Arabidopsis thaliana: one gene and its partner. The protein of the gene in region 2 interacts with the protein of the main gene of each other region in a pairwise test. Each region holds a gene or a part of one and is shown on either strand. Other genes may lie near its edges.

What was found.
Region 1: the proteins of AT5G56980 (region 2) and AT1G52550 interact in a protein complementation assay, tested with the Arabidopsis thaliana proteins (one large-scale study listed by BioGRID).

The regions. Positions count from the first base shown.
Region 1 is NC_003070.9:19,570,308-19,587,054, reverse strand, and holds AT1G52550 (uncharacterized protein), read left to right. Parts: upstream 1-12,995; 5' UTR 12,996-13,055; coding exon 13,056-13,299; intron 13,300-13,718; coding exon 13,719-13,870; 3' UTR 13,871-14,300; downstream 14,301-16,747. Other genes in the region: PLDALPHA2 (phospholipase D alpha 2), read left to right, coding at 504-599, 702-2,604, 2,682-3,115; AT1G52565 (cytochrome P450 family protein), read left to right, coding at 6,544-6,691, 6,753-6,994; AT1G52560 (HSP20-like chaperones superfamily protein), read left to right, coding at 11,289-11,568, 11,854-12,272; AT1G52540 (Protein kinase superfamily protein), read left to right, coding at 15,171-15,214, 15,519-15,666, 15,813-16,075, 16,160-16,747.
Region 2 is NC_003076.8:23,043,217-23,060,649, forward strand, and holds AT5G56980 (cotton fiber protein), read right to left. Parts: upstream 14,527-17,433; 5' UTR 14,498-14,526; coding exon 13,358-14,497; coding exon of another isoform or gene 13,260-13,357; 3' UTR 12,864-13,259; downstream 1-12,863. Other genes in the region: CKX3 (cytokinin oxidase 3), read right to left, coding at 1,728-2,031, 2,126-2,394, 2,496-2,756, 2,842-2,969, 4,420-5,029; AT5G56985 (uncharacterized protein), read left to right, coding at 13,260-13,688.

The DNA of each region.
Region 1 (16,747 bases), on a different chromosome or scaffold from region 2:
CTCTCTCAATCTCTGAGAAATTTTGCAGGTAGTTTCGTTTTCTCTCTTCTTCCTCTTCTCTGCAGATCTTTTTCCTTTTTAAAACGTTTATCTTGGAGATCACATATCGTCTGGTTTCTGGTATTCTTGTTGTGAAGCAAGTGGGTGTATAAAATGTTTATGAAACTCATAAATACTTTGGTTAAAGTTTAAACATTCGTTATATGATTGCAGTATGTAATTTCTCAGTGTTTTGCTTGCCTCTCAAACTGTTTCTGTGATTCGATTTTGTTTTGATGGAGATCAGTTACTTGAGATTTAGAGTTTCTTCTGTTTCCTCGGACACTGATTACGGTTAATGACTTTAGCTTGTAGATTCGTCTCTCCCTGCACATAAATTTACTTTACATTTTTAAACGAAAAATATTGTTTACAGGATCTGTAAAATGTGAATTTACGTATTTTGGTAATCTAATGTATGAGTTTTACTAATATTGTTATGATGTTACAGGCGGGAAGAAAAAATGGAAGAGTGTTTGTTACATGGAAGATTGCACGCGACAATCTACGAAGTTGATCATCTCCATGCTGAAGGAGGTAGATCAGGTTTCTTAGGATCGGTATTGTCTTTTGTCTCTCTCTCATTTATAAGTTGTTTAGAGATACAACAACAAAAGGTTTCCTTCAATCTGTCTTTAATGTTCTGTTTTTAATCTTTCCAGATACTAGCAAATGTAGAAGAAACAATCGGTGTTGGCAAAGGAGAAACTCAGCTTTACGCTACAATCGATCTTGAGAAAGCAAGAGTTGGAAGAACGAGGAAAATAACAAAGGAGCCAAAAAACCCAAAGTGGTTTGAGTCTTTTCATATTTACTGTGGTCACATGGCTAAACATGTTATTTTCACTGTTAAGGATGCTAATCCGATTGGCGCGACGTTGATCGGAAGAGGTTATATTCCTGTGGAAGATATTTTGCATGGAGAAGAAGTTGATAGATGGGTTGATATCTTAGATAATGAGAAAAACCCAATTGCTGGAGGATCAAAGATCCATGTGAAACTCCAATATTTCGGTGTTGAAAAGGATAAAAACTGGAATCGTGGTATCAAAAGTGCTAAGTTTCCAGGAGTTCCTTACACATTCTTCTCTCAGAGGAGAGGCTGCAAAGTTTCTTTGTATCAAGATGCTCATATCCCTGGAAACTTTGTCCCGAAAATCCCTCTTGCGGGAGGGAAAAACTACGAGCCACATCGATGTTGGGAGGATATTTTCGATGCAATTACTAATGCTAAACACTTGATTTACATTACTGGTTGGTCTGTTTACACTGAGATTTCTTTAGTGAGGGACTCGAGGAGGCCAAAACAAGGAGGAGATGTGACTGTTGGTGAGCTACTCAAGAAGAAAGCTAGTGAAGGTGTTAAGGTTATTTTGCTTGTTTGGGATGACAGAACATCAGTTGATTTGCTGAAAAAAGATGGACTTATGGCTACTCATGATGAGGAAACTGAGAATTTTTTCAGAGGAACCGACGTGAACTGTATTTTGTGTCCTCGTAACCCTGATGATGGTGGAAGCATTGTCCAAAACTTGCAAATCTCAACTATGTTCACTCATCACCAAAAGATTGTTGTTGTAGACAGTGAAATGCCGAGTGGAGGATCAAGATCCAGAAGAATAGTGAGTTTTGTTGGTGGTCTTGATCTTTGTGATGGAAGATATGACACTCCGTTTCACTCCTTGTTTAGAACGTTGGACACTGCCCATCACGATGACTTCCATCAACCGAATTTCACTGGCGCTGCGATAACCAAAGGTGGTCCTAGAGAGCCATGGCATGATATTCATTGTCGTCTTGAAGGACCTATTGCTTGGGATGTCTTGTATAATTTTGAGCAGAGATGGAGTAGACAAGGCGGTAAAGATATTTTGGTTAAAATGAGAGAACTCGGAGATATTATCATCCCGCCTTCTCCCGTTCTGTTCTCAGAGGATCATGACGTGTGGAATGTTCAGTTGTTTAGATCCATTGATGGTGGAGCAGCTGCTGGATTTCCTGACTCCCCTGAAGCTGCAGCGGAAGCAGGTCTTGTGAGTGGAAAAGATAATATAATTGATAGGAGTATTCAAGATGCTTACATTCACGCGATTAGACGAGCTAAAGACTTCATCTATATCGAAAACCAGTACTTCCTTGGAAGCTCTTTTGCTTGGAGCGCGGATGGAATCAAACCAGAGGAAATCAATGCTCTGCATCTGATTCCGAAGGAGCTATCTTTGAAGATTGTTAGCAAAATCAAAGCAGGAGAGAAGTTTAAGGTCTATGTTGTTGTTCCAATGTGGCCTGAAGGGATTCCTGAGAGTGGATCAGTCCAAGCTATATTAGATTGGCAGAAAAGAACAATGGAGATGATGTACAAAGATGTAATCAAGGCACTTAGAGAAAATGGACTTGAGGGAGAGGATCCGCGAGATTATCTGACATTCTTCTGCCTCGGTAACCGAGAGGTCAAGAAAGATGGAGAGTATGAGCCTTCAGAGAAACCTGAACCGGACACTGACTATATCCGAGCACAAGAAGCACGCCGCTTCATGATCTATGTTCACACTAAAATGATGATAGGTGAGTGTTTTATAACATTTACATAATTTATAACTTTTCAATACTAACCAAATGATTCAACATCAAAATTTTCGCAGTTGACGATGAGTACATTATAATCGGATCAGCAAATATCAACCAGAGGTCAATGGATGGTGCAAGAGACTCAGAGATAGCAATGGGAGGCTATCAACCATATCATCTCTCAACAAGACAACCAGCTCGAGGTCAAATCCATGGATTCCGCATGTCTTTATGGTATGAACATTTAGGAATGCTCGATGAAACATTCCTCGATCCATCGAGCCAAGAATGTATCCAGAAAGTCAACCGTGTTGCTGATAAGTATTGGGATCTTTACTCAAGTGAGTCACTTGAACATGATCTTCCTGGTCATCTACTTCGCTACCCGATCGGTATTGCTAGTGAAGGGAACATCACTGAGCTTCCCGGATGTGAATTCTTTCCCGACACAAAAGCTCGTATCCTCGGTGTCAAATCTGATTACATGCCTCCAATTCTTACAACCTAAGCTCAGTGGCAGTAATTATGGGTAATAAATAACATTTTATCCTCTTTCTTTTGCTGAATAAGTTACAAAACCATTAGCCCTATCCTATTTAGAGCCTAATAAGTTATTTTTTCTTGGTTTTGGTTTTTCATTCGGCTACTGACGATTCAGAAAGAAGAGAATATTTAGTAGTTGTTTCGTTTGTCCGTTTTGATACTTGTTTTGTTGCTAATTACTGTTAAACTCAATGAATTTATCTATTAATCATATTTTATGCTATGTGAAACTTGTAAGGGTGAAATAGATCGTTTTCCAAAAATATAAACTGAGATCATCATTAAAATATATAATGATTTTTTTATATATAAAAAACATTGTTGAGATCAACATCATGTATGAGTGAAACTTGGTAAGAACCATTGAACTTTGGAGAATAAATCCGTTCTGGTTTCTTGAGGAATCCTGATGAATAAACCTTGAAAACCCCGAAGGACAAGGATCGATCCCTAGCTCTATACCATCTTTCAACCTTGAGGACATTTCCTGTTATGGTGACTACAAGTTGTGTGGCACGAATGCTCCATGACTTACTTTGTAGACGAAGTCGTCTACCTATCCGAAAGAGTTCCACTCGAACACAAGATTGAAATGTTTGTTGTGGAGTCTCTCCACGAGGTATCTGAAGGCTCATACTCCCAAACATTTGGTTCCACGAGGTACCATCTTTCAATCTGAAGTTTGGGGGATTTGGTTCCACGAGGTATCTGAAGGCTCATACCCCCAAACATTTGAACATGCATATTAAAATTACGAAAATCATATTAATATTCATAGATATATCATATATGCATGTTCTGATGGGTTAGTCCGGTCTCGTTCTGACACAATCGGTTCAACTAAAATTGATTTACAATGTTTGGAGACTGTCAAATCTTGAAATGTTATGGATCAGTCTATCTCTTTGGTTAACCACTATATGCAAAAGGAACAAAGACAGGTTTAATGGATTTATTCGATCCTACTTGGCCCGTTTCCGGTAAGATGGGTACTATACATGTATCAGATTGGACCTCACCTGATTATGATTTTTTCCAAAAGCTCAGAAAAATAAATCCGATTTTGACATAACTGGATTAGGGAAGTCCACAAATTTTTGGCGTACCAGAAACATCACTAATCTTGGATAAGTGTGAACATATAAAAGGAAGAAATTTAGTTAACATGTGTGGTTGACGTTATTTAGTCCATCAAAGTCAAGCAACCATGTGACGATCTCTTTCTTCTTTACGTTCTATCAAAACTTTAAGACCTTAACTTCTTGTGATGTCTCTCTCTTAAGTAGTTTGTGTTTAAAATACAACTAGCCGTAAAATGATAGCTTCTTGAATCTATACGAATAATTTAATTTTGCAATTTATGTATCACAAATTATATACTATAATATACTATAAGTATATAATTTGTGATACATAAATTGCAAAATTAAATTATTCGTATAGAAAAACGACTAAAAGAAAAACTCTCATCGAAATTACAAACTCCTTTTTTGTTAACCGAGGAATCTCAAACCAAAACAAGACTAAACCTTGTAACTTTTTTTTTTTTTTTGTTAAAGAAATAGTATTAGAATCGTGATTTGAATTGCAGTGGGAAAACTCCAACTCCTCTAACGCGTTAGATACTTAGAATGAATCCTTCAACCACTAAAAAGTCTCGACCATCATGAGTTGGTTACAATTACAAAAATTTTATTTAACTCTAATTAATTCCAACAGTTTCTCCACAAATTACTTATATATAATCATTCATGTTGAAAGTTATGTAGAACAAGGAAACAAATATAGATAAGAAAGTCTTTTTTTTTGGGTAAAAGAAAGAGAAAGAGAAGTTGGTCTAGTCTTCTATATCACAGTCAAACAATTGAAGAAGTTTCGAAAGAGTTACATGTTGGCTTCTATAATTGGCTAGTTAGTACTCTTTTCAATCTCATGCAAAACATGTTCGTACCGTATTTGATTAGGTTTTTATGTACAAAACGCGGCAATATTAGGTTTTGAAACAAGACACGTGGCAAAAGCCCATGTTCACGTAAACACCAAGGTTCTGGATCATGTTGAATGATAGAGATTTGTGGAAGAGATTCATTGAACTCTTTAGAATCTCTCTCACTCAATGCCTTGTCCTTCTTATATTTCTCTTCATCACAATTTTTATCTCCCTGATTTTTAGTTATTTGTATTAAACGCGTAAACATGCAAACATATTTTTTTCAAAAAGAAAACAAAAACTTTCAAACATAAATAAATATAAATACTCTCCATAATTTACTACTAATATTATCTTGTATTGTTTATACAGCTGTGAATTTTTCATATTCCCCTTTGATTTTTTCAAAAATAGACAACAATCTGGCAATCATTCATAAGAAATGATTGAAAAGTAAAATTAAACCACGTGCATAAACCAATTTTTAATTTAATAGATACGTTCAAGTTCTGAATTAATATTTAGTTAAAGTTATTTCCTTACCTTTTAAAAGATAAACACAAATAATTTGCACCAAAGTATAGTATTTAACAACTATTAAGAAAGATAGTGCTTCTGCATTTTTTACTTTAATTTTTGTTTCTAAATAAGTGTGGTTAAAAGACCATAATTTGCAAAAAGCAATGGATGTTGTATGTATCACTCTTGTCCTAGCTTTCTTACCAATCTTTTAAACTATGATTGTCAACATGAAGCTTAGTAAATTTTTTGGAAGGAAAAATAATTAAATTAACTATGATTTTTTATTTTTTAAACAATTTTTTGGTAAAATTTCTACTCTTATCTCTACTACTTAAATGTATTGATCAATGAAAACAATTATATAATGTTTTAGTGCTATTCTAAGGTATTTCATATTTAATTATGGTGGGAAATTTGATCATATTTGTTGACAAAAGTTATAAAATATTTCTCTTTATCTTACTCTTATTCATAACAACTCTAGACACTGAATCTAGTTATAAATATGGTCAGAGACTAAAGACAGTCAAGATTCAACTATGAAAGAAGTTTTTTTTCCCAATTTCCACTTGATTTTTGAGCCTGTGACTTAAACCAAACACCAATCTTTTTACACACCAACTCCCTCTTTAACTTTTTCCAACAGAGTACAGCACACAAAATAACTTCCAACTTTTCTATTATTGTCAGAAAACATTTTTTGCTAATTTCTCACAAACTCATTTCTCAAATAAATAAAAAACTTTCTTCTTAAATTCTTATTGACAAGAGAGATCTCTCACCGTTCAACTTCAAACAGTACTCTCTTGTGGTACAAGTACGAAAAATCTCTCTGCAACATAACACATGCTTCTCTTTTTTTCAACACACACATATTCATCATTCATCAGAAACTTTCTCTTTCTCTCTTTCTCTTCTGAATCTTTTATCTTTCAAACACTATGACTTGTATACTAAGCTGTTCTCATGGCGTCGTGATCGCAACCGCCATGGTTTTCTCAAGCACTGCTCTGTTTCTTGCGATTTCCCGCCAATTTTCTGGAAATCAGACATCAGATCAACAAATCCTCCGTTCTTGTCTTTCTTCAGGTACCCTTTTCCGATCTTTCTTCTCCGATCATCCTCCGGCTAAGAATAATTTTTGATGCAGAGGAAAAGAAGAAACAGAGGAAGAATAAGAAGAAGAAAGTGAAATTTGCAGAGAATGTGAAAGAGACGAAAGGTAACGGTGAAGAGTATCGTAAGAAGAGTCTTCGGCGAATTGTACCGGAACAGATGATTAAACCTGAGAAAACCGGTTCGGTTTGTAGAAACGACATGCCTGCTAACCGGATTGCATTGTACAATGGGATTCTTAGAGACAGAGATCATCGAATTCAGTGCTCCTATTGACTTTTTTTCCTTTTCTTCTTTACCAGCAACTATGAAAATGTAGAAATGAAAAGAAAAGTAATTATAATTAATTATTGTAGATAATCACAATTAGCTTTTCGGATGATTCTCTGTATGTAATTTTAGGTGATTGACATGTGAAAAATACTAAATAGAGTTTTTAGCGACAAGAAAAGAGTAAGAAATTTAAAAGACTCTTTCTACATTTGATTATTATAACTTTTCTCCCACATGAAAAAACATATTTTTATATGTTTAAAAGGTTAAAAATCAGCGAAATTATGTTTTTAATCAAGATTAAGACTTAAGAAAAGAAAAAAAAATACTGTTATCAGAAAAATTAAATTAATGCTATCAAATTTGAGAATCTTTGTATAGAGATATGATTTTATGTTTGTGGAACCATCAAGATATTATAAAATTCTTGTTAAGAGTCCAAAATTCTAGTTATAACGTCGAAAACTTCACGATCAAGTGTTATCACTCTAAAGTCTTACCAAATACTGTTTTTTTGTCGTTTATAACATATAAAAATTTAATAAAAGTTTTACAATATTATTATGGCTTTTTTATATATCTAATCAATGTTTTGCATAAAGTGAAGAATAGTGTAAGCATGATTGTATATATTTCGAATATTCGACCAACGACTAGACAAGTAGACATGCACACATAATCAGTGATACAACTTTAGTCTTTAGCATAACATTTACCATATAAAAAGATTAGGGCTTCAACAGATAACACATGAGACATGTGAATGATCAATTGTTAGTAATTAGTATTCTTTACAAAATCGAGTGTTTCTTGTATATATTGAGGCAGAAAAATACAAGACTCCTGGACAAGAAGCCATATTTTGACCAATACCAATTTTTAACTCAAGTCTAGCCACATGTGGGGTTTGGTGAACCGGAACAAACCATAATGGGTCACTGTGTAGTCTGTAAACGAAACAAACCGGCGGTCCAAATTGCTAACCGCCAAAACCACGTGACGGTCCAATCGAAAATTATACGTTTCTTGTCTAATATTTTGACTAAATTATTGTAATTAACTATGCTAAATTTCAAAACTAATCGGCTTCATATTCATATATCACTGATTTTTTTAAGTTATGTATACCAAACTAAATAAAAATCGTTCACAGTGTTTTGGAAGTAATTTGGACAATCTTGTTCGAAACTTATTGACACAATCGGGAGAAATAATGTATTACTAATTAGCTATTTCTTTTTTTCTCACCAGAAGCTTACCTACTAACCGTAACCTAACTTACAATTAGTTTTTGAAGTATTTAATTTGGTTAAATGTAAAGGAGAATAAAACAAAAACACTGAGAGGGCACTTAAAAGCCAACAACGGTCCAAAGATGGATAAGGTCGGTCCAAAAGCTAATAATTCGACAATACTCTGGACACATGGGCTTTTTTGGTCGTAACCGGTCCCATTTCTGTTCTTAGAGAAAATCAGAAACGGTTTTTAAATAACAAAGTAGATTGTAGTTGCAAACCGAAAGCATGGTTCGTGCCTTTGCACTATTATTTTCATTTCATCCCTTTAATTAATAGCTTGTCATCAAAATGAAAGGCAAAACTTTTACTAATTTGTGTTATTTGTGAGCGTACAAATAGAGGATCCAAACCGGTTATATCTATATTTCAGTTCTGATAAATAAGATGAAAGAATAACTTTTCAATCGGCATGGAGGAATCTTTTGATCGCTTTGGAAGCAATCTTGATAGTTGGCGTTTTTGTTGTGACGGCTTGTTTATGGAAATGGGCTTTGACATGCGGGGTAATTGTAGTTGCTTGACACATAGCCTACTTGATTATGATTTTTGAATTTGTCATTCGTGGTCAGAGTCGGTCCAAAGACTAATCATGTTTAAAGCTCAACAAAATTTGATGTCCATTTACAACAAATAAAAATAGAAAATTGTTTTAATATTTTCGATTACCAAGGATCGAACCAATCACTTTCTACCTTCAAAGCACAGAAAACCAATAGATTATAAGACGTTTCATAAAATTTGATGTCTTTTAAAATATATATAAAATTTGCTGTCTAAAGCATCTATTTGCTGTTTACAAAAAAAAAAAAAAAAGCATCTATTTGCTGGGTTTTATGTTCCGGCCGGCCTTCAAGACACCGCAAGCTTGTGGATAGCGATGGTTTTCATCATCATGCTGTGGTTTATATTCATCTCAAAGTAGGCTTTGACATGCGGGGTAATTGTAGTTGCTTGACACATAGCCTACTTGATTATGATTTTTGAATTTGTCATTCGTGGTCAGAGTCGGTCCAAAGACTAATCATGTTTAAAGCTCAACAAAATTTGATGTCCATTTACAACAAATAAAAATAGAAAACTGTTTTAATATTTTCGATTACCAAGGATCGAACCAATCACTTTCTACCTTCAAAGCACAGAAAACCAATAGATTATAAGACGTTCCATAAAATTTGATGTCCTTTAAAATACATATAAAATTTGCTGTCTAAAGCATCTATTTGCTGTTTACAAAAAAAAAAAAAAAAAAAAGCATCTATTCGCTGGGTTTTATGTTCCGGCCGGCCTTCAAGACACCGCAAGCTTGTGGATGGCGATGGTTTTCATCATCATGCTGTGGTTTATATTCATCTCAAAGTAGGCTGCAAAAGAGCGGGAGAACGGTCTATTCCACTCCAAACTTAGTTACTTTATCGTATCCATACATAGAACTTTGAAGTATGCTTTTAACTATATGAACTAACTTATAATTTGAATTTACTACATAAACAATCAAAATATGGCTGAAACCAACAAATCAATAGATGCCGTTAGTTAAACCGTTAATGTAGCTGACTAGGATGCCACATGGATAGACTTTACAAAAACGAATCTAAACAACTTAAAAGACGTCGTATCTGTGACATCTACTGTCTCTTGAACTATTGTGTTCAAGGGACAGTAGATGTCACAGGTTCGATATGTTTAGATTCGTTTAGATTCAGTTTACTTCTAAGAAAAATATAATATTTTTTTTTAAAAACATATATTTCATCAAGCAAACCTGAAATAGCCAAAAAGATTTTTTTTTAAAAAGCCAAAATAAAAAAGGAAGAAAAAGGGTTCCATAACAAGAAAAGAGAAGAAAATTAAAAGGCTAGTGACTAAAGATACATTTTCATAATAAAAGAATAAAAGAATTTAAAAAATGTATATGAGCAAATCATAAGCAAAATATAAGTATTAAACAATATCAAATAGGTTTAAATTAATTTTATTACACAGAATAAAATAATTAGTAATCATCAATAATACTAAAAACATATAGTAGTACAAATAAAAACATAGTAGTACAAACTCACGGAGGAAACGGGTGTCTAACGTAATTAATTTTTCGATTCAAACCAATGATTCATCGCCTAAGATTTTTGTGCCGGTCTAGCGACACAACCCACATATTTTTTTCAAAGTTGATTTATAAAGTTCTATGAGTTGTAAAACATTATTACCTTAGCAAAGAGAGACCTGCGGAAGAATCTGGATGTTGTACAAATATTCAAATTTCCTATATTACCACCTCGTTTACAATTTATTAATGGTTATGATATATATGTTTGTGACTCAGTTGCTTGTTAAGTATGAACCGTCAATAATTAAAAAGTCATTTTAGTAGAAAAACAAAAAAAATGTATAATTGTATAACAAGTTAGCAACCCACATATGTTGCAGAGTTGATTTATAAAAAAAGATTGGGGACAGAGTTACCATTAGAAGTTTGGATCGAAACAATTGTTTTTTTTTGTTTTTGATAAAATATTGATCGACACAATTGTTTGACATTCATTTAATGTTCTTAACACAAAACCAAAATCCATATGACTATATTTATATTAATTATGTTGTTAGTTTTGTTGAAATAAGTTATCCAAAAACAAATTTCAAGAATAATTTGAAAGATTTTGGGTCTTTCTACTTTCTAGGAATTGCAAGGTCAAGGCGGTTGGTCTTGTGTCATGATTTTCTTCGTTTTAACTATTCAAAGAAAACAAATATTGATAATAAAATAACCTTGTTGTGATTATCTAGAAAAAGGGCTGTAGAAGAAACAAGAAGCATCTCTGTTTTATGTTCCCAAATGAACCAGAAACTCTTAGAAACTTCTAACACCTCTTAGAAACCAACCTTTTAGCATAAACCCTAATCCCATCTTTATAAACCAAACACTTCTTGCCTTTTTCTTGCAAACTCACAAAAAAGAAGACAAGAAGACAAAAATTAAGAAATTTACCGATTTGAAAACAATGGCTCTAGCTCGTCTGGCTTTGAGAAACCTTCAACAAAAACTGTCTCCTAGTTTGATGGGTCAATCTTGTGAAAGAGGTTTGGTCGGAAATCGACATAATCCAATGAAGCTAAACAGATTCATGGCTACTTCGGCTGGTGAACAAGAGGATAAGATGAACACAGAAGTGAGTGTGTCTGAGAAGAAATCTCCTCGACAGAATTTCCCCCGGAGACGTGGCCGAAAAAGCCTCTGGCGTAACACCGACGATCATGGCTACTTCACTCCCACCCTAAATGGTACGTTTGTCATTTTAGTTCATTATTGATATACCTATTTAGCAGAAAATTTCAATAGTGTCACAATAATAATATTTTCGAAATAAATTATATAAAAAAAATTCAACATTTAAGTGTAAAATATATCCCATAAAAGAAAAATTAAGAAGAAAATTTGAAATTCTAGAATCATAAAAATACATCAAATTTTAAATTTACATTTTCATTGCATTAAATCTCATGAAACATAATTAATGTAAACCTCTATTTTTGCTTGAATTGAATTTTTTCTTCTTCTTAAAACAGAGTTCTTTCCTCCGACTATAGGAAATACTCTGATACAAGCAACAGAGAATATGAACAGAATTTTCGACAACTTCAACGTGAATCCATTCCAACTAATGGGTCAAGTGAAAGAGCAAGACGACTGTTACAAGCTCAGATACGAGGTTCCAGGGCTAACCAAAGAAGACGTGAAGATCACGGTAAATGATGGAATCTTGACGATTAAAGGAGATCACAAGGCGGAGGAAGAGAAAGGCTCACCTGAGGAAGACGAGTACTGGTCTTCAAAGAGTTATGGTTACTACAACACGAGCTTATCGTTGCCTGATGATGCTAAGGTTGAGGACATTAAGGCGGAGCTCAAGAATGGTGTGCTTAATCTTGTGATTCCTAGGACGGAGAAGCCAAAGAAGAATGTTCAGGAGATTTCTGTTGAGTAGAAGAGATACGGTGTCGTTTTTGTGTTCTTTGATGGACTAAGCAAATTAATGTTGTACCTTTTTTATGTTTATGCGAATGGAATCAGTTATTAAGTTGCTAATTAACTTAGTTCATTTGCGCAAACAAAAGAAGCTAGAAAATACATTATAGACTAATTGAACAAGCAAAGAATGAACCAGTTTTGTGTTTGTAATGAGAATGGAATAAATTGTTATTCAGCATAGTTAATTTTCGCAAAAGAAAGAAGCCAAAATTAATTAAAAGAAGCAGCAAATGTTGTGTCCCTTTTATGTTTTCTATGCGAATGGCTCAATGGAGTAAATTGCTAATTCACGTCATGAACACAAAAATGTTGATATATTAAACAAGAAGTCCATTTTTGTACCTCATATCAAAATTTTATTTGTAAATTTTGTATTAATAATTGTGGATTTGCTATACTATACTATGAAATATTTTTCTTTATAGACAAGTTATGTTATACATTAAATTATTTATTTATTAATAAGTACAGTATTTTAGTGTATTGTCAGAGTTCAGTTTCTTTAAAGAAAACACAATATTTTTTTTTTTTGTCGTCAAGAAAACACAATATTTATGTTAAACAAAAATGCATGATATTTCAATAGTTTGTGGAAAATTATAGAAAATATTTCATTTTCCTTCTTTTAGTTTGGTATTAAGAAGGAAAAAACCAAAAACATTTTTTTGATAATGTATACATAAATTAAAATTAAAATAATGAGAAAACAAAACAAGGTCCAAAATACCTTGTGAAGAAAATGGCGACGGCGTTTGCCAACACGACTTCAAGCTCCAACCTTTACCTCCATCGCTGCCGTAAAAACCATCCTCTTCCATCTCCGTCGTTCTTTTCACCGTTCCGGTCGTCTCCACTTCCTTCTCAGACCCTTTTCCTCGTCCCCACTCCAAAACCTGTACGACGCATCGCGGTCGCTCCTCTCGGCCCTCCAACGCCGCCTAGTCCCGACCCACCTCCGCCTAAAAACACGACTGAGCTCACAAGTTCGTCTTTCCCTTCTTACCCTTAAAACTTCAATGTTTCAACTCTGAGTTCTGATTTTGTTTACTGCCAATTCTATTTTTCAATCTTTCCTAATTCGATGAAATTGCATTACGGAATTCGAATTAGGAGAATGAAGGTGGTTTAACTGCTATTGATTCGTAGATAAAGATGTTAATCTTAGTCCTCAAGATCGATTACTGTTCATTGCTAAAGTTTTGATCTTTGTGACAATTTATAGACTTTTACTCTTGTTAAGCATTAAGGATTTATAAATCTCCTCCTTTTACAACTTGTGAATGTCTTCCAAAAGTTCCACCATTTTCTTTTCCCTACAGGTTTAGTCATTGGTTGCAATACGAGAGCAATCTTCTTAACAATTTGGATTCATAGTTGTTGTTTGGTATCACATTTTGTGTAGGTCTTGTGGGAGTAGCGTCGATGATTCAAGACCGTGTAAAGATCTTTCTTTCAGTACTAATTTGGATCTCTCTCTTCTTTTGGGCTTCGGCTTTACAAGGAAGAGGCAGCAAAGGTAATGGTAAAGGGAAGAAGGGTTCACGCTTCAAATAGTATTAGTTAGATTGGTGTGGTGATGATGATGATGATTGATGAAAACTCCTCTACACGTTTGTGTATATATACAGAGGAAATATTCTTCCAAGTAAAGCAAATTTCTTGTCAGACTACAGTTTTATACTAGAAACTAGATTGTTCTCTTCTTACGATATCTCTAGCTTAGAGCTATAGAGATTACTCTACTGTGATGAAACTAAAGTAGTTTGCATTTAAGTCAAAATGCCAAATCAATATCATTGTTTATTGAAAGCTGTTTCAGATTGTAAATGACTAGATGTGTTTGGTGTGTGCTTGATTCAGCCAAACGGTAAACCGCACCGTTTCTTTGATTTGAATGTTTGTTGTATAAAATGGGCCTTTAGATATGTTATATAACTTGTTTGGGCTTCAACATACTCTTTTATTGGGCCTCTCTATATAATATAATATTTCCAAAGTTGTATTTAATTATTATTTGATTTATATTTAAAACAGTGGTTGTTTATTCATGATATGAAAAAAGAAATAACTGGATTTAGGTAAACCTTATTCAATACTGGGACAATGAATTAACCAGCTCATGATTAGTTGGACCTGTTTTGGTTAAAGGCTGGTAGTAAGTTTAGAAACAGAAATTTATGATAAGAGCCTAACATTTTGTTCTGACCACACTGAGTAATTTAACAATCTATCTAAATTAAGATTTTATGCTATGTTTAATTTATATTTGTTCTGATTATAGCAAATAAATTTCCATATCTAGAGATCTTCTTCATACACAATAAAAAAAACTAGTATTTGAACTTTTGTATGTATTAAAAATTGCAAGATTTTGTAAGTACAGATTCACCAAGGTGAGGTGTGTGATTAGGAAACTTTGATTAGTTGTCATGTGTCATCAACAGGCCATGAAAAGGAAATCTTTGAAATTCAAAAAACAATACCTTTTGATGAAATTATTACTATATAAATACTATATGTGACTATGTGTGGATATGCACAATCATTCCCACTAATAGTTTAATAAAGTGTATAATTTTTTTCAAATTAAAACAGCTAAACACACACAACCACATTCAAAAAGGGGTTAAGCATTGAAGAATATTCTAAGAAAATTTGTTTCTCTTCTTACAGAAGTAAAAGCGACTCTCTCTCTCATTAAGCATCAAAGGAGTTTCGTTTTTCTTGCTTTGCTGTTACATTCTTCAGGAAAAAGGCGTTACCTTTACTCTCTCTGCATCAACGAGGAAGCGTGTAGAGCTAAAGGAGCTGAATTTGAGAGATTTTTTTGTTTTGTTTCTGGGTTTGTTCAAAGATGCAAATTTTTAGTTGTTTCTGCTGTGGAAAAGGATTTGATCGGTATGTATGGAGTTTTAATCTTGATTTTCAACTTGATTTGCTGGTTTATGGGTTTTATCTAGTTTCTCCATTGTTTTGTTCTTCAGAAATTTGTTCTTGCTTTGATCCGTTTTGCTATTCTTCTTTATTAGGGTTTTGAGATTTATATCATTTCTCGAGCCTATTCATGTTCAAAATTTATTTCTTGGTGTAAAGTTTGGAACTTTCGAACAATAATCTACTGTTTGATAAGCTTAAGTTGCAGATTTGATAAACCCAAGAAGAAAGTAATGTTAATTTGGTTTGATGTGACAACTTTACACAGGCAAAAGAAGGTGAAAACGGAGCCATCGTGGAGGATCTTTTCACTCAAGGAACTTCACGCAGCAACAAACAGTTTTAATTACGATAACAAGCTCGGTGAAGGCAGATTTGGCAGTGTGTATTGGGGTCAGCTATGGGATGGATCTCAAGTAATGATTATCTTGAACTTACTTGATATATAGAAATCTCTTCTTTTCCGGGTCAGCATTGTATTGACTTAGTTTGTCGAATCACAATGTGTAGATGTGGTCTCTTTGATCTTCATACTGTAATGAGCTTTTGTTTTTGTCTGTAGATTGCAGTCAAGAGATTGAAGGCATGGAGTAGCAGAGAAGAGATAGATTTTGCTGTAGAAGTCGAGATTCTTGCTCGTATCCGTCACAAGAATCTATTGAGTGTACGAGGTTACTGTGCAGAAGGACAAGAACGACTCATTGTATATGATTACATGCCAAATTTGAGCTTGGTCTCTCATCTTCATGGTCAACATTCATCTGAGTCGCTTCTTGATTGGACTAGGCGGATGAATATTGCTGTATCTTCTGCTCAGGCGATTGCGTAAGTTTTCGGGATCAAGAAAAGTTCATATAAATTAGCAACATCTACTGTTGACTGATTTATTCGTTTCCATTTTTTTTACAGCTACTTGCATCATTTTGCAACACCTAGAATAGTCCATGGAGATGTGAGAGCAAGCAATGTGCTGCTAGATTCTGAGTTTGAAGCTCGGGTTACAGATTTCGGATACGATAAGCTGATGCCAGATGATGGAGCTAACAAAAGCACCAAGGGTAATAACATTGGGTATCTCTCACCAGAATGTATCGAATCTGGAAAAGAATCAGACATGGGAGATGTGTATAGTTTCGGTGTTCTTTTGCTGGAGCTTGTAACTGGTAAGAGACCTACAGAGAGGGTAAACTTAACAACAAAGAGGGGTATTACCGAATGGGTTTTACCTCTTGTTTACGAAAGAAAGTTTGGTGAAATTGTGGATCAAAGGCTGAATGGGAAGTATGTGGAAGAAGAGCTGAAAAGGATAGTTTTGGTTGGTCTCATGTGTGCTCAGAGGGAGTCAGAGAAGAGACCAACAATGTCTGAAGTTGTGGAGATGCTAATGATTGAATCAAAGGAGAAAATGGCTCAGCTTGAAGCTAATCCACTCTTCAATGGAAACAATGATGGTGAAGTTATAGATGAAAGCTCAGAGATCATTTCTGAAGTGAGAGA
Region 2 (17,433 bases):
TTTTTTCCTAAAAATAGTTTTCATGATAATTTTCTTAATTAATAATTATAATTTTGTTTTGCTTAATATTCGACCTGCATCTGCATGTAGTCTCGTAAATTAATGTTAGTGATCTCTCTACGTATAAACATAATAATGACATCGCGCATTAGACCGTTCGACGGTAGCGGTGTTCTTATTTTTTCTTAGTCGATTTAAGAACATTCAGCATTATAAATTTATAATAAACTATATCTAATTTATTATAACATAAAAAATGAAATAAGACGTTTTTTGTATTTAAATTCTTGCATGAGAAAATCAGTTGGAAATATTAAGAACGGTCAACTCCTATTGACTATGAGTCAATGCCGCATTGCGGCAAAATTGCCACTTGCTTTGCTTTCTTTCGTTTTGCATTTCTGATAACGAACAGCGTGTCGGTTGTGTTCAAAAACAGCACGTAGTGGTAATATGAGGCCCAGAGTTCGACGATTAATATTTGGGCTGAACATTAGAGGCCTATGAACTGACATTTCCAAAATGATATCACATGAAAAATTGAAACATCTATTTCTAAACATCTTTCCTTTTTTTTTTCATCATCTCTAAACATCTTTCCTAAACAAACGAAGTAAGTAAAATCTTATTGAAATGTTTTTTCACCACACAAAAACAAAATTAGCTTTTTTTGTTATAATTTTCACATTTAATTTAATTTTAATTTATATTGATATTAAATAAATATAAAATGATACAAATAAATTTTGGGATGGTATTTTACACGAATATACAAAGGAATCTCATGATTATATTTTTAGTAATGATACAATGAGATTTTGCGTTATAAAATAATTGTTCCAACTTTTTCACATAATATACAGTTTAGATTACACTATTTAAATATTCGGTACTTAGACACTTTCTATTAAAAATTAGGTTGGAGATTCCTTCGGATCACAAAGCTAGCGGCTGCAACTTTCATCATATGCTTTCCACTTTTCACGACGTTTTTGTCGTTTTCTTGATTTTACTTTATTTAATGTAGTAGTTTATACGGGTTATATTAGTCAATATAATCAAGAATATGCACTAATGAATTCATTTTTGACATTAATGAAAAATATTCTAAAAATATACAAGTTATGTAAATGTGGATTAATCCCTTAATCTTAACACAAAACAATTGAGACAAAAAAAATCGATAATTATTAATCTTACCACAAAATATCAGATGTCTAGAAAATCAGAGTTTTTGAAAAAGAAATCTGATTCTAATCCAACCAATTATACGTGGACTGCGTTCGACCAAGATCTTCAAAGTACATAAAAATATATATTAAAAATTAAGCCAAAAATAAAAACAGAAAGGAGGCAAGAAGTGTGGATGTCTCCTTCTTTCCCGCAGACTGTAACAAAAAGGTTTGGGGACATTTCTTGGACATAATTATTCCCTATTTCTTTAATTAAATATATTATATATTTATAGATATGTCAACATTTTCTTCACAAAAAGATAGTTTTCACATTTAGACTTACTTTCAAATCTTATGATCATGTCCTTTACTTTCCTATCAATTTCCATTTTCTTAATAACATTATTCTTTAATTTCGTGTTCTTAATTATAGCCAAAAATCTCCAATTCACGTGAAATTGTGGTATATACTTTTCTGTCAAAAATTGATATAACAAAGAAAGGAATATTTACAAAGTGGTGAGAACGACTAACAATAGGATTAATTATCGTCTAACTCGAGTTTATTTTTTGAAATATATTTTGTCCCGGTGATAATATCATTTTGGGATCATATTTATATTTTCTCTCTACGAAAATATTCCACCTCGGACCAAAATGTCTAACCCATCCTTCTTGTGATGAATGATAAGGAAGATATTGTATAACCCCCATATTAGCATCCTCACAAAACTTCAGTATTTCCATGTTTTCTTGATCAAAAGCCTCCCAATTGTCAAAACCCGCGGATCTTAAAAACCCTACCGCATAAAATACATCTTCCTCGGGTATAGCGGCAGACATCCGATCATTCCACCTAAAAACGCCGCATAAAATTAGCTTGTAAGAATATTTCGGATTCCAAAACGAAAATGTAGATAGTAAATTTTGCAATATCGAGTTAAACTTACTTGTTGCGATTCATAGGATAAACAAGAACAGGACCGCTAGTGATGTTATTTCTTAGGATAATACCCTTAAAAACACCATCATCAAATTTGGAGATTTGAGTTTTTGGTACGAAGAGATTAAGCCATGGATGTGGAACATCCCATTGGCCTTTGGATTTCAGGTTTAGCTCTCCGGTTCGAACTCGGTTTAGGAAATCCATATACGTCACATCTTTCTCGTACATAAACCCTCTTACATGGTTTAAACTATCGCTTAACTCCTCCATTTCCTGCATAAGTTAAATAACTAAAGTAAATTAATATAATTGAATAATGCATAAAGATCTCCCAATTATACATGTATGATTTATGATTGTATGTATGTACGGACCTCGTTGACTGTGTATTGAGAAGTTTCGTCGTAATACTTGACGACTTCAAGGCAGTAGATGACACGATGTCGTTTGACCATTGAGGCGATCCTCAAGTGATCGGACGGTGGATAATACGTGGATCTCCAGTTATCCGGTGGGCCATGGTCCACCATAATGGAACCTTCTAAGAAATCTACACCGTCCGTTTTCGATATCACTCGTTCTTGATCTCTTGTGAATTCGGAGAAATCTATGTATAGAAACCTTAACCACTTGGCCTACAAAAATCCAAAAATGCATATATGTTCATTCATAAATTTCATAGAATTTTCTGTAGTTGCATAATTTACAAATTTAACATACCCTTTTCGGAGCTACTTCAAGTTTAATTCTGGCTCTTGTTATAATGCCGAATTGACCCAAACCTCCTAACACCGCGAAGAAAAGATCCGAGTTCATGTCCTTGGAACAAGTTGCAATCTCTCCTTTTCCTATAAAATAAAATTTGACCCCATTAGGAAAAGTTTAGTAAGTAAACTATTTCAACAAACTTGGACCGTTATGTAAGAATATACAAAGACTAACACAATTAATTGATACAACAATGCAACGAGTTTGAAATAAAACTATTCTCTTCTGTACTTGTTTTGAGCCTAGAGTGCTAAAGTCGGTATCATTAAATTATGTTTATCTCCTAACCAAAAAATGGAACTTGAAAGTCTTCGTAATCTAACTACACTTGAGACCAACAGTGTAATGTATATGGATGCATATGTGGACATAATGGATACAGCTATAATAAGAAAATTGACTGTTACTTAATCCATTACACCTGGTTAGGACCAAACGTTATGAACTTTTGAGTTTTGTCCTTACGCCACAAGAAACCTCGTGTAAAATCATGGGCGTGGGACCATTTTTTTTTTGGTTGTTTTTTTTTAGTCTATGAATGGAGGCAGCGGACAAAGCGGTCTAATTTATCTGCGGTTTAGTCCATTTCATTTTTGAGGCGGACAATAAACCGTTGCGCACCATGTTTATTTGTATGTAAAAACGGTATGGAATTGGTCCGCTGCGGTTTTCTTCTATTTTTTTTACCCCAAACCACTGCGGAATATAATTGATGAATGGTAAATAAAAAACGGTCTGATCTATTGACGGTTGTGTCCGCCCCAACCGCCGTAACCATTCAAACCCTTAATTGTCTGTTTGTTCACCGGGTTATATGAACAGTTTTATAATATATGACCATGTAAATTTCGCAGAAATTTGACTTCGAATCCACGAAATTTGCATAATTTGAGTAAGAAATATAGAACATAATTATTCAAAAAAAAAAGTTTAGTTGGTTAAACGTGTAATATACTAATGTGTTACTAAATAAATCGCGTTTTAACAAAACTATATACTATTTTTTTTAATAAACTAACAAAACTACACGTAATGTATACTACCAAAATTTCTTTGTTTCACGATTTTAATGATGAAATAATCTGTTGTTAAAACACCAAGAATATTGATTAATCTTCTATTGCTAGATCGACCTTTGCATTAATATCAAGTTTATAATCTTAGACCAACCACCAATTTTGCTTATCAAAAAATAAAAAAACCAATATTTTTTTAATGCGTCTACGTTTACAACCACCTATTTTTACCTAGTCCGTATCTTCTTTCTAATCTTAAGACCAAAAAAGGTGATTAGATTGATGTGTGAAAAGAAGAAAAGCTATCAACAAGTTCGAGAAATAAATAAACAGAGACAAACAATACAAACAAACAATAGCATAACCAAAAATGGCCGCGCAGATCTAAAATGAAAAAGACGAAAAAACTTCGAAAAACGTACGAAGTTCTTTGTTGTCTATCAGAAACGTACGAAGTTAAAATCACTATTACTGTTTTTTTTAATCTCTGTGTGAAAAAGATCGTGGTACGTACCAGTAATAACATCCATCTCTAGAACATTAGTGATCTGTGGACCGTACCGAAACGTTTGTCCACTAATTCCGCCGTTTGATAACGTCCCACCGACTGTTAAATACAAATAATCCGTCCAAGAAACCGGCGTTAACCCTAACTCCAAAGTTTTATTCAACACCTCAATCCATAGCCACGCAGCGTCCACGTCAACATATAAACAGGTCCTAGACACCTTGATACCTCGATCCCGGTTTACCATGGACCGCATGTTGACCACAACTCCGTCTTTAGCCGAGGCTTGGCCACGGTGGCTGTGTCCGTGACCACGAGCGGCTAAAGGAAAAGACAGTTGAGAGTCAAAAGAGAGTTTTATGAGATCTGTGATGTCTTCAACGGAGGAAGGGATTAAGACGGCGGAAGGGAAGATTTTGGTGACGTGGCCGAAATCTGTGGCGGCTGATTCGACGGAGGAGGAGGAGGAGGTGAGTTTTCCGGCGAATTCGTTGTGTGAAAGGATATTCCATGGTTGTGGTGATGTGTTGGTTGTGATCGGAGTTGAGAGAGTAATGATGATTACTATTGTTATTGCTATAAGACGAACTTGTGAACGAAGATTATAACTCGCCATTTTTTTTGAGAAATAAGTCTTTTTATTTTATGAATAGCTTGATTCTTATCAATGAAGAGTAGTAGCTGTATATATATAGACACGCATGCAGACACATGTATTGTACGGATTTTTTGTTTTTTGTTTGTGTAAAAAAAAATGAAAAATCAGTGAGCAAGCTAGTATCTTCTCTGTATATAACTAGTAACTACTAATTATTGAAGAGTTTAGATTATTTGAAACAAATTATTTTGTTTTAACTAAATTTTATTTTCTGTATATTCCTATAATAAAAAAATTCAGTTGACCCGAGTAAAGTAGATAGCTGATATAATAATTATACAATTCCGTATTTAAAAGAGTATGTATGATATAAGTTCTGTATGACACGATACGCGTTCATGTTTTTGTTAATTTATTACAAAAATTTACAATGAATGATCAAAGTCACGTGAGAATCTAATTAGCAAACCACTGGTTTCAAACTTTCAATAGACCACAAAAGCAATAGTTGTAACTGTCTGAACACGCACGGTGTCGCTCACTAGTTAAATGGTTCTGCATAAATATTCCACGGTCCATTTTGTACATTACTACATTAATAGTTTCTGTAGTATTGTAGTAATTTCTCATATTGTGACTCAAAGAGGTTTTGCAGTTGAGGTTAAGCAAAAAAAAATGTAGCTTCTTTTGATATTCAGATTATGCAGTTTGGATCCTATGAATAGATATCCATGTTAATGTTTCACAAACTATATAGAGTAATCAAATGTATATAAGTCTATCAATATTATAGATGAAACTAATTAATTGATTAACTGATATAATAGCTAAAACTAACATAATGTTGTAATGTATCATCATTCCCACCACCACCATAATCATCACTGTAACCGTGATTAGTTGTGAAATAGCAAAAAAAAAAAATGAGCATGTACCATAATCATCATGGGGATTGGAGATTGGCCTTAGATCACCATATACGATATTTCCCCACGGACAATAAATCTTGACCCTTGGATTGATCACACTTATATTAGAACTTGGCTAGGTTTTTTGTGAGAGTTAAACTTGACTCGAATTCTTCCATCTGCATGTAAATAAGAGTAAATGATGTTTTTAAAATAATAACAAGAAGAAATTTGAGTTTACAATTTTTTAAATAATTTCTGGGTTTATCTAATCAAAAACTTAATACACATATAGTATGTAAACTTCAACAACATCAGCTAGTTTTATTTTCTTCTTCCTACCTGTTGAATATATTTTACGATCTTGTTGTAAACAATCGGACCTATAATACTTTACATATATTAATGTTCTTTTTGAAGAATATTTCTCATTAATATCCCTACTAGATGATGTTTCCTTGTCACAATTAGGTCATCATCAAAAGAATCTACAAGATCTGCTTCTTCTGAGGTCTGAATAATTTATTTAATTTCCTTCCTCGCGACTATCGAAAAGTGCCGATAATTCTAATAAATTAACAATCGTAGGCCAAACTTTGTAGATTCGTAATTAATCATTGTGCCGTAAATAAACGATAAAAAGCAAGACATGGAATATCCTCAAGATTTTGTTCTGTTTGCTTCTTTTGCCACATGTTAACTTGTTGTCGCTGCAATTTTTTTTTATCTTTTACTAATGAATTGAACTTAAGCAATTATAAAAAAAAAACACTCCAATTCCATTTGCTATAACAAAAATTAGAATTTAGACAGAATATTATTAAGCAACTGGAATTTAACTCGTGGTATACCACAGGGCAAATATTTTATTTTTATAAATAATATTATTAAATTTTAAGATTTTAGTTTAATATTAAAATTATATAATTTATATTAATATTATAATTAAAAAATTTGGTGATGATAAAATAATAAAATAAATATTGAATCTGTGTTTCTAAAACAGTCCTGCTATATTTCATATCAATCCAAATCCGTCATGCTATATTTTTCGTCTCATGATATTTTTTTTTTTATAAGTTTAAATATTAGTTGTGGAATTAATTTTGATTATGATTTTATACCGAAAAAGTTATGGACTATTAATTCTATGGAATATTCAAACCAAAATAAAGAATGTTTTTAGGTGCACATATAATTGGGTTTGCTCATTTTCCGGGATCGTAAATGTATTTTTTGGTTTGTTTCACATTTGTTTTAATTTATTGCCGAAATTTAATACAAATAATTCAAATAGTTCAAATTTTGGTTGTTTTAAGATTTAGTAAATATTGTAGGTAAAATAAGGAAAAGTTAAATTATTGTGTTTTGCGTGACATATGGGATTGCCATATATTTAGAATCTTTTTGGTTTGTTACACAATTAATTGTCGTATAAAAATTCAAACCATTAATTAAAAAAAATCAAATAATTTAAATCCATTGGCAGCCATTGTAAATAAGTTCTAACTTTAAGATTTATTTCATAAAATGGATATAAAAATGTATATGTAGATCCTACAAATAAATCTATTATCTAACTATAAAAATTCACGTCCAAAAAAATACATCATAGCCAGGCCTGATCATAGGTATAAAATTAGGGGGATTTAGCAATTCTAAAATTAATCTATTATCTAACAAAATTGGATATTTATAATTTAACAAAAAAAAAAAAAAAAAAAAATTGATATTCATAAACTACTATTATAGAAAATAATTTATTCTTTTGCCAAATCCTTCTTTCTGATTGAATGAATAATTTTATGGATTAAATGTTGTATGTATAAGATAAACAATAAGACGTTGTACCCGGACAGCAAAACCGTGCTAAACGCACGTGTAGTTGTCATTTTCCCATCTTTATAACTTCATGTCGCGAAAAATAATAATTTAAGAACGATAACTTGAGAAAATAGAGTATAGACTATGAACAAAACGACCATTGATTAACGGTGCTAAACAAAGTATTTATAAATAAAAATGACATTCATTATGACCCCCCAATAAGGTGGCCCCGTAATTGGAACTTGACAATTTAGAAGATCTTCACTCGATTGTTTTTCTTTTTATTGTCAGCGACCTTTACTTCAGTTTTATTATCTTAAAACAAACTAAAGATTTGCCCAAAAAAAAAAAACTAAAGATAAAAAGACAAATCATTAAAATTTGGTTGAGCTGTATACGTTTGTAATAATGGAACTGGATTGGAGAGAAAATCAAAAAGAAGGAATTAGTTTACATGTATATGTATAAATGTTTATTTTTTCTTTTAAATATAATTTAATATTAGATTCAAAAGAAAAAAGGAATTAGGGTAATGATTTCAATTCGTGGGCACATTTTGTTATATTCGTATCTCTTTGTATTTAATTAAATAAGTACTACTATTTGAGTTGTCTTAAACCTTTATTTGGCCATGCATCATCATGCTCCATATATGTTCCCTTCGTTTATATTATTATCCATTCATCATTATAAGATTCAAGACGCATGTGCGCCGCACCTCATAAGTAATGTACTTTTCTTGATAAATGGGTTGGCGAAAGATATGGATTCTCATAATTGGCAAATTTTATTGCGATCTAAGTAAATTTAGAGCTTCCTTTAGGAGGTTTAACTTCTTTCGGGCTTGAGCAAAAAAAATCATTTTAACTAGTAGTATTGGTTGTGAAACTTTTGGGTCTGATATATAATTAAGAACTTAGCGTGTGCAAGAAATTAATTTATCGAAATATTAATTAACCAAAAACTTGTTATTATAATAAAAAGATATATGTATTGTGTAGCTATAGAGACACTCTATACAATTACAAGAGACACATATATAGACGATGCATGTTTTCACGTGAGTGAAAATTTCTAGATAAATTGATTGCTGTATGCGTCGTATTATAACATCATTCATTGAATCTTTTGAAATTCGTATCATCTTTAGTATTAATAAGTACTTGCATTAGTAATTTTGAAAGCCAGATTTAGATTAGAGTTTAAGTGGGAGTGGAACTAAGCAACTGTATGATATGGCTTACGTCACATATTATTGAATGTATGATATATATATACCAGTGTATAGATAGGATCAAAAACATTATAAGATTTTTAAATAAACCCAACTAAAGATGTTTAAACTTTCTACTTAGCTTATTTACCAAATTACGTGCCAAATACCAAAGTATAGAAACAAGTCATTCCGACAACCACGTTTTCAAAATTAAGTACAACAGCAGATGGTCACAGCCGACCAAGTTGACGACAATACATACAAAAGCAAGTATTGAAACACGTAACAAAATGTTATACGTATCTCAGAAAATAAAGGTATACGCATATACATTTTTAGTTTTAGATAGAGAAACGTAACTACTAAACGGAGAGTTAAAAATTCAAAGTGATGTAGAAGTATGCATGGTAGCGATCTAAAAATTCACAACATTTTATATTTTATTATTTTAGTAACTGATATTTCATTAATATAGACATAATATCATCAAGATACAAAACTGAAGATATATGGTTCATGCTAGAGGGAGCATGTGATCTACATATTGGTGAAAGCCATTAATTGATTTGAATTTCTTATATGGTGAGAGTAAAATTAAAATCTATATATTACTAGTTTACTAGTTTCAAGAAACAAGAAGAAACTGAGTTGTGAAGTAACATACTTAAAATGTGATGTGGATGTGGTAATTTAGTCCATACGATTATAATAATTTGGTTTGGTAATAAAAGGAAAAAGGAAAGTGAAAGTGGGGACTAAGGAGATTCATGCAAATCTTCGTAGGGATTCTAAGTATAGTGGACCACTTCTTCGTTGTACATAGTTTTCATTGAAATGGTTTATAGCAAAATATCCATTTAAAAGTCGAAATATCTATTAACGTACTAATATTATTATATAATATTCAGATATCTATATTTATTTTAAAATGATAAACGTTTGTTCGAACATATTCTTATGTTGTATACGCTAATTTGGATGTGATTTGATAAAACTGAAGATACATAATTATTGTTCGAACAATTAGTGTGGTTGATGAAATGGTTGGTAGAAAACTAATTGGAAAAGTAGCGATGGTTTAAGATTTACTCTCTACTAACTCTAAATCGTCAATATCTCAAGCAAAATGTTGCTACTGTTTCGGATCGCTTGATCTCTGATTTCAAAGCCCTGAAAATTATGGTTAACTTGGCTAAACAATTGTTTCTGAATCATTACATACAACTCTTTATTAACAAAAAAAACAAACAAATATCGGACTAAAACCATTGACTCTAACGATAGTTCTCACGGAAAAGTATTGCATATCTCAGTCAACGAATAAAGAATACTTAACGATCATATATATAACATGGGGTGTCTAAATCTGAAATGTTTCGCGTACATCCACGAAGAAAATACATACATGACACATTACACATACAACAAATGACATATATGTCTTTGTATACGGATACAATCAAACAGTCATGGACATGATAAAGACGAGACACGTAAGACATGCTTTATACGATAGTGAAATCTGTCGGAAGAGAATGTGACATTAATTAGACATTGGCAGGATCCTACAACAAGATCAACTCGATCTTCGACCAAATCAAAGTGTCTTAGAGATAAAACAGGTAAGATTTTGAAGAAAATGGTTATAAAGGAATCTTAAATGTGGGTCCAAGATCTTGGAAATTTCCTCACAGCTCTTTTCTATGAAACAAAGATTAATCACTTGGATTCTCTGCCATTATTCATATCTTTCGATCTCTCTTTTTTGTTTTCTAATCTTTTGACGGACGTGATTGATTTGGTACGATAAACTTTCTCACACTCTTATCGTAAAAAACAATAAAATGTCTAATCTTGAAATTTGAAAAAATTATAAATTTAACTTTGATAAGTTCAATCGGTTAATTATTTTTTCTTTGGGTTTTATCGTCATTTGAGAGACATATGCCATCAATCAAAACATATGCTTTAGAAACTGTAAAATAAAATTCAAATCAAAAGCTAAGTTTCTAAGATATGAAAAGAATGAAAAGTAAGCGTAATGGCTAAGTTTATTTTTATCAGTTATGCTTGAACTTTAAATTCGGGTCATTTTTGTTCTTTAATTTGGTTTGTTTTGTCAAACAAGAATAGATGCTTTGATACAGTGACGTATTATCTTTTTAGAGTTCTCTAAAGTCAAGTGGGAGAGTGTACGTAATCCGGCCTATGAATGTCCGATCGAATATTATCTTCTCAGCTTTCCAATGTGTAGCCCCACAAAATCTAACAAACATCGAGAACCGGGAATATGACGTAACCGGACATCCCGAGTCCCGACATTTTCGTACCGGTTTTTGGTTTTATTCCTGGTACAGTTTGTATTGTCCCCAAGCGATCCTTTCCTGTCCTCTTTCATATAAAAACAACCGTATTTAGGGTTGAAAGGCTTAAAAAGTGTACGTAAGTTAAATGGGCTATGGCCTAGATTTCTGTAACTCTCTATGTTGTGATTGGGCCTTCTACTATTAGCCCGTTACTTTGATATCAGTATCTAGAAAGTTATGATTATGCCGTTCGAAAAATAAAGAAAGGAATTATATTAAGTAGATATGTCTGAGCCCGGGTTCGAACCGGGGACCTCTAGTGTGTGAGACTAGCGTGATAACCGACTACACCACCCAGACTTTGATACTTAGTTTAACAAGAGAAGTATATTGATTCGGTCATTTAACAAATTGTTTTCATTTTCTCATCCAAGTTGAAACTTGAAAAAAGAATCGAGGAAAATAACAATGGATAAACCTTAAATGATGGTAGTAGCAACAACAACGGAAGAAGACATTAATCTTTTTTTTTTAAAGTAATTTGTAAGTTTTATTCTTTTTTGAAAGCATCATGAAGAAAATACTTGAGTGTTGGTTAGAGAGGAAACATATTTTTAAAATAGTAAGAAAGGAAATCGAAGTTGAATTGAAAGTTTGACATTGTTTTGTTAAACAGAAAAAAAACGTAACCTAAAGAGATAGGGATGAATGTGATGATTATGACGAGGATTAATTTAATCAGGAGATGACCGAAAAAGTCTTTTTCGAGCCACGAATAAAACATAAAAAATTTCAGGTCTGAATTTCGTGGCCAAGAATGGTTTGATGGATTTGATTCGGATCACTAAAATTCTAAAGTCTATATTACAACGCCTTATCTTACAAGTTTGGATTCGTTGAAATAATTCCAAGTCTATCACATAGTCTATGAAAATATAATAACGTATTACAAAAATGAAACTAGATGCATGATTAACAAAATTTCTTGAAAAAAAAATTCACTACTAAAACAAGTACTTCGACACGTAACTTATATTAAAACAAATAGAACTGATTGATGACATTGTTTTTATTGCGGTGTTTCCATAACGTTAAAAAACTTAAAAATGTGATTTCAAGTCGTGACTAGACCATATCAAATGTTTTGTTTTTGGTTTTAATTTTCTACTTAAACGTTGCTTGTTGTAATACTGAGTTATAAAAAATTGAAGTTTTGAATCAGTATCTGATCTTATCGGCTTTCAATTATCCATTCAGTGAACATTACGTTCGGTAATGGAATATACATATGTATTAAATGAATCATTTAATGTTCTTAAACTTAACCTTATACTTTAATGTTTATAAAAGTATAAACATGACAAGAGTGTTAATGATATTTTGCTTTTGCTTATAGAAAAAGCAAAGTAATTATAGCTCCCCTAAACATCATTTATAAAGCTTAAAATAATTTCTTGTTAAATAAATAGTTTCATTTTATTTGTATTGCTAAATACTAATTGTTGACATTTTGCAATCACATGTACATGCATAAATTGAATTATAATATTGGTCAGTCGTCCACTTATAATATTTTCATTAACAGTTTCACGTATAATCTAAAAGTATATATGATACAAAATAGGAAGTATATCTGTATATGTACAAAAATATTCAAATAGAACTCTTAATATAATCTGTATCATGGCACGAACAATTTTGCCTAGAAAATTTTAAATAAATAGAATAAACCAACCTGAAAATAGGGCAGAAAATAGGAAACGTGTACCAAACATCTCGAAAAAATTGCCAAGTGAATGAATGATCATTAGAATTAAGACGCAAAACAACGTCCTAGATCCAATTTTAACGCCACACATACTTCGCTAAGCAACTACGTTTTTTTCTTTCTTGTCTCTTTATGAACTAAACAATAACAAATTCACATTAACTAATTAATAAATTACTTAAATATCCTCAAACATACAGGGATATTATCGGTAATTCAGATAATGTCCACTCCTGTCTCCTACGTGAAAAACGGCGGCAAACAAAACCGCGAGCCAGACATCGGCGAGGAATACAATAATCACCGGCGACGGAGACGGCTTCAATGGGCCTTAAGCATCTCCTTGTACCTCAGAATCGAATCGAGTCTCTGTAATTTCAGCTGCTGTTTGAATTTGTTGATGAAATCTGAAGCTTTCGCGTCGACGCCATCTTCGCCGTCGCCGAAAGACGTCGATCTTTCGACTCTCGTTGTATCTGGTCTTCTCCGTTCGAGGGATTCCACCGTCTCCGGCGCTTCCGCATGGCTTCCTGCGAAACCAAAACCTGATTTCTCGCTAGCCGATTTTGTCATCTTCGTTAAAGCTTTCTTCTTCTTCTTCACCGGTTTTTTCGATTCCGATTTGCTTCGTACATGCTTGTGCTCCTCGTGAAGAACCGGATCCGGATTTTGTTTTTGATCCAAATCCGGGTCGGATCTGTAGAAGGAGGATAGCTTAATGGATTTGACCCGTTCTAAGATAGACGGAGCTCGAGTTAAACCGGGCGGGTTAATTTGACTGTTCACTCCGGTTCCGGTTGGTTGATCTTCTTCCGGGATTCTGAATTTTGAGATATCAATCGGGTCAACCCGACCCATCCGGGTCGGAATACTTTCGAATCGGGTCGGTTCTGTGTGATGAGCATAATCATTCTCCTCCGGGTTATACTGCTGGAATTTGAAGTATGACATGTTGATGGATTTGACCCGATCCAGAAGAGAAGGAGCTCGTTGTAACGGTGCCGGAGCCGGATCCGGGTGTAAATCTAGGTGGGAGTGGGAGTGGGAGTGAGGATCCGACCCGGTTACGTCGTGTGGGAACTTGAAATAAGACATGTTGATAGATTTGACCCGATCCAAAAGAGAAGGAGCACGTTGTAACGGAGCCGGATTTGGATCCGGGTAAACATGAAGATCCGACCCGATTATGTCGTGGTGAGCTGTCATCGAGAAAAGCTCAGTTTCTGGATGAGGAAATTTGTAGAGATGAAAATTGATGGACTTGACTCGGTCGATAATCGATGGAGCTCTAGCTAACGGAGCCGGAGCATGACCTGACCCGAATCCATCGTGATGCTGGTAATGTTTTCTTGAACCTGACCCGAGTCGAGAGGTTACGACGATTGTACCGATCATAAGATTAAGAAGGAGGAAAAGAGTCGTCGGAGTGAAAAAGCTCGCGACCGTCGTTAGTAACTCCATTTTTGGGTTGTGTTTTATGTTGGTTTTGTCGGAAGGAGAAATGAGCAAAAGGAGTATATTTATATTTGGATTTTGTTTTTTGTTTTTTTTGAGGTTTGCGTTTATTTATTTATTTTACTTCTTTTGTAAACTTTTTGACTGTTATTTATTTGGTCATTTGAAAATGGTTTTTTGTTTTGATTATGGAAACGTCGAAAGTATAGAGTTAATGTGTTCACATGAGACGCACGTGAATTTCTCTTTTCTTCTATTCATATTTCGTCCATATTATTAAATTTAAGGAAGTGATATTTTTTAGTATTATTCTGTGTGGAGTATAAGTTTTCAAGAACAGCTAATTATTAATCAGACTAATTTTATTATAGGTAACAAACCAGTTACAATTGTATTGATGATGACTCCGTGAAATAAAACACTACACGTTAATGCAAACTTTCCATTATACATAAAAATACGTACACAGTTGGAAAAAAATAAAACACTACACGTTAATGCAAACTTTCCATTATACATAAAAATACGTACACAGTTAGATTTTTCTTTGGCATTCGGGACGTGTGGACCAAGTCATCTCATCTTTTCAGAAATTTCATTATTGGTTGATATCAATTGAATACGACCGAAATTCAAGATCCGAACAAGACTAATTACCTTAAGTTTTGGTCTTGGCACAAATAAATTCTAGATTTTATGGGCATAAAATCACTTCTATACGCATAAAATGAATTGTATACAGTTAATATAAAAGCATCTTTGAATGCGGTAGATTAGTAATAAGAAGCTACGGTATAAATGTAATGGATAAGAGCTGGACACAAGTGAAATAGAGATGCTCTGTCTTTGACTGGAGAAAGTTATGTGTAGGGCTCATCGTACTGTTAAATCATATAAAGTTCCAAAATTATTGTCTCGTGAGACACCCGACCCATCTTAACATAGTGTGTTTAGACCACTCATTTCAACACGTTTTTCTCTGTAAAGCTTACAAATTGTAAGTACTAACTCTATTATTTACACATGTTTTACGTGTATAATTCTTCTGGCTTGACTTTAGGGTTCTCTGGGCTGGTCTCAAATTAAATGATTCTTGAGCTAAGCTACTTCTACTTGTAATTTGTACTATAGTATGTAAATGGTTGTCCTTTTATGTTGGTTGAGTTGAGACAATATAATATATACTGATTTTTATATATTCAATAACGCAATGCAATTTGAAAAGAAAAAAAATCTCACCCGGTGATGGTAAACCACGTATGTAGTGACTAAAGTCTAAACATATAATTATAAAAACCGGTTGGCATGTTAATATACAAAATTATTGAGTAACTATTTCGACTAGGGTAGTGTTTAAATATTGATGAAATTATCTTAGATATTTTGAACATTAGAAATATGGATTTATCGTTGATGCTTTTTTATGTAGAAAGTGTAGGATATGAATGTGAAGAGGTAACTTAAGTTAAAATACAATGACTAAAATTAAAAATACAATGACTAAAAACTGACTTCTAAATTTGATTTTTCTACTTTGAAATTAAAATATTACAGAAGAGAACATTTACTCAAAATGTGGAGTCGACGACATCGCGTGGGGGTGCTACCTGCTACACCGACCTTTTACGGTTGACTTTGATTTCTTAAACACATAGTTTGAAAATATTACTATAAAAATTGGTCCACTCGTAGCTACACGTCTCTCATTTTATTATTATTATTATTATTATTAAAAGTTATTGCATTTGCATACTTGCATGTAACTGGCTAGTGGCTACACCTACACCCACGTGGGTCGCCATAGCAGCATTTACTATAACGACGGATAACGAACAAAATATATGGACTTTATATGATTCATTCAGAAATTTTCATTTCATAGACTGTGACTTTTTCTTTTATGCATTATGACCTTATGAGGATGCATGGTCCAGCTTGAGTTATCTCTTGTGCGAGAATGGGTTATATATGTAATATGTAGAGCTGGATTTATAACTTTTTCGGTTCAGTCGGAGTTCTATATAGAATTTGAGAAGAGTGTTTTTGAATTAGGCGAAAAGTCATTTCGTTTTTAGGTGAATTGATTCGATTTGTGTCAATTGAGGTCGGTTCGAATGCATGTATCATTGGATTTTATTTTTCCATTGATAGTGACTTAGCTACTACTAGCTAGTCTACTAGAATCATCGGTTGCATAAAATTAGTTTAATATGTACATCATGATATCATCTAATAAAATAAAAAAATGAAATCATCTAATATGTACTATCCTTACGCATTTGCTAAATTTATTTCTAAAATGATATATTATATGGTTTAGAGTCCGTACGTGGATTGTATATGAACCATGAACATCAATTTGTAGGTAAGGTACTACGTAGTCTCGATTGGACTGACTAGTGACTACTTCGTCCCATGCTATAACAATATTTCTATTATTTTTTTATGACCTTTTTAAATTGACATTTGTCGTATTTTGTTACACAATTTTTTTTTAATGTTCACATAACCCCAATAAAAATGAGTTAAAACTTATCACATATATTTTCAAATATCTTATTGAAAAGTCATACGTAAACTTACTTACTTACAAGTGAACATATGAAAAAGGAAACAAAAAAACTTGATTAAAAGTGAACTTATAAGACGTAAGTCCACAACAAGGCCAGACATACACGATACGAACGGCCCATGGCCTCATCGCAAATCATTCATATGTACATTAGGTAGTAGACTAATTGTAGCATCTCATATTTTAGATTACAAAATTAAACATTGTTAGAAGTTGATATTTACATGTTAGAATATTGGAAGTTAAAGTTTTATACTCTTATATAACAAATGCTTTTAATTAGGAAGACAATTGGCAGTATCGACTAATCAACACACAAATTTCCTCAAAACAATGAATTTGTGTATACTCAAGTTTTTTTTAACAAACA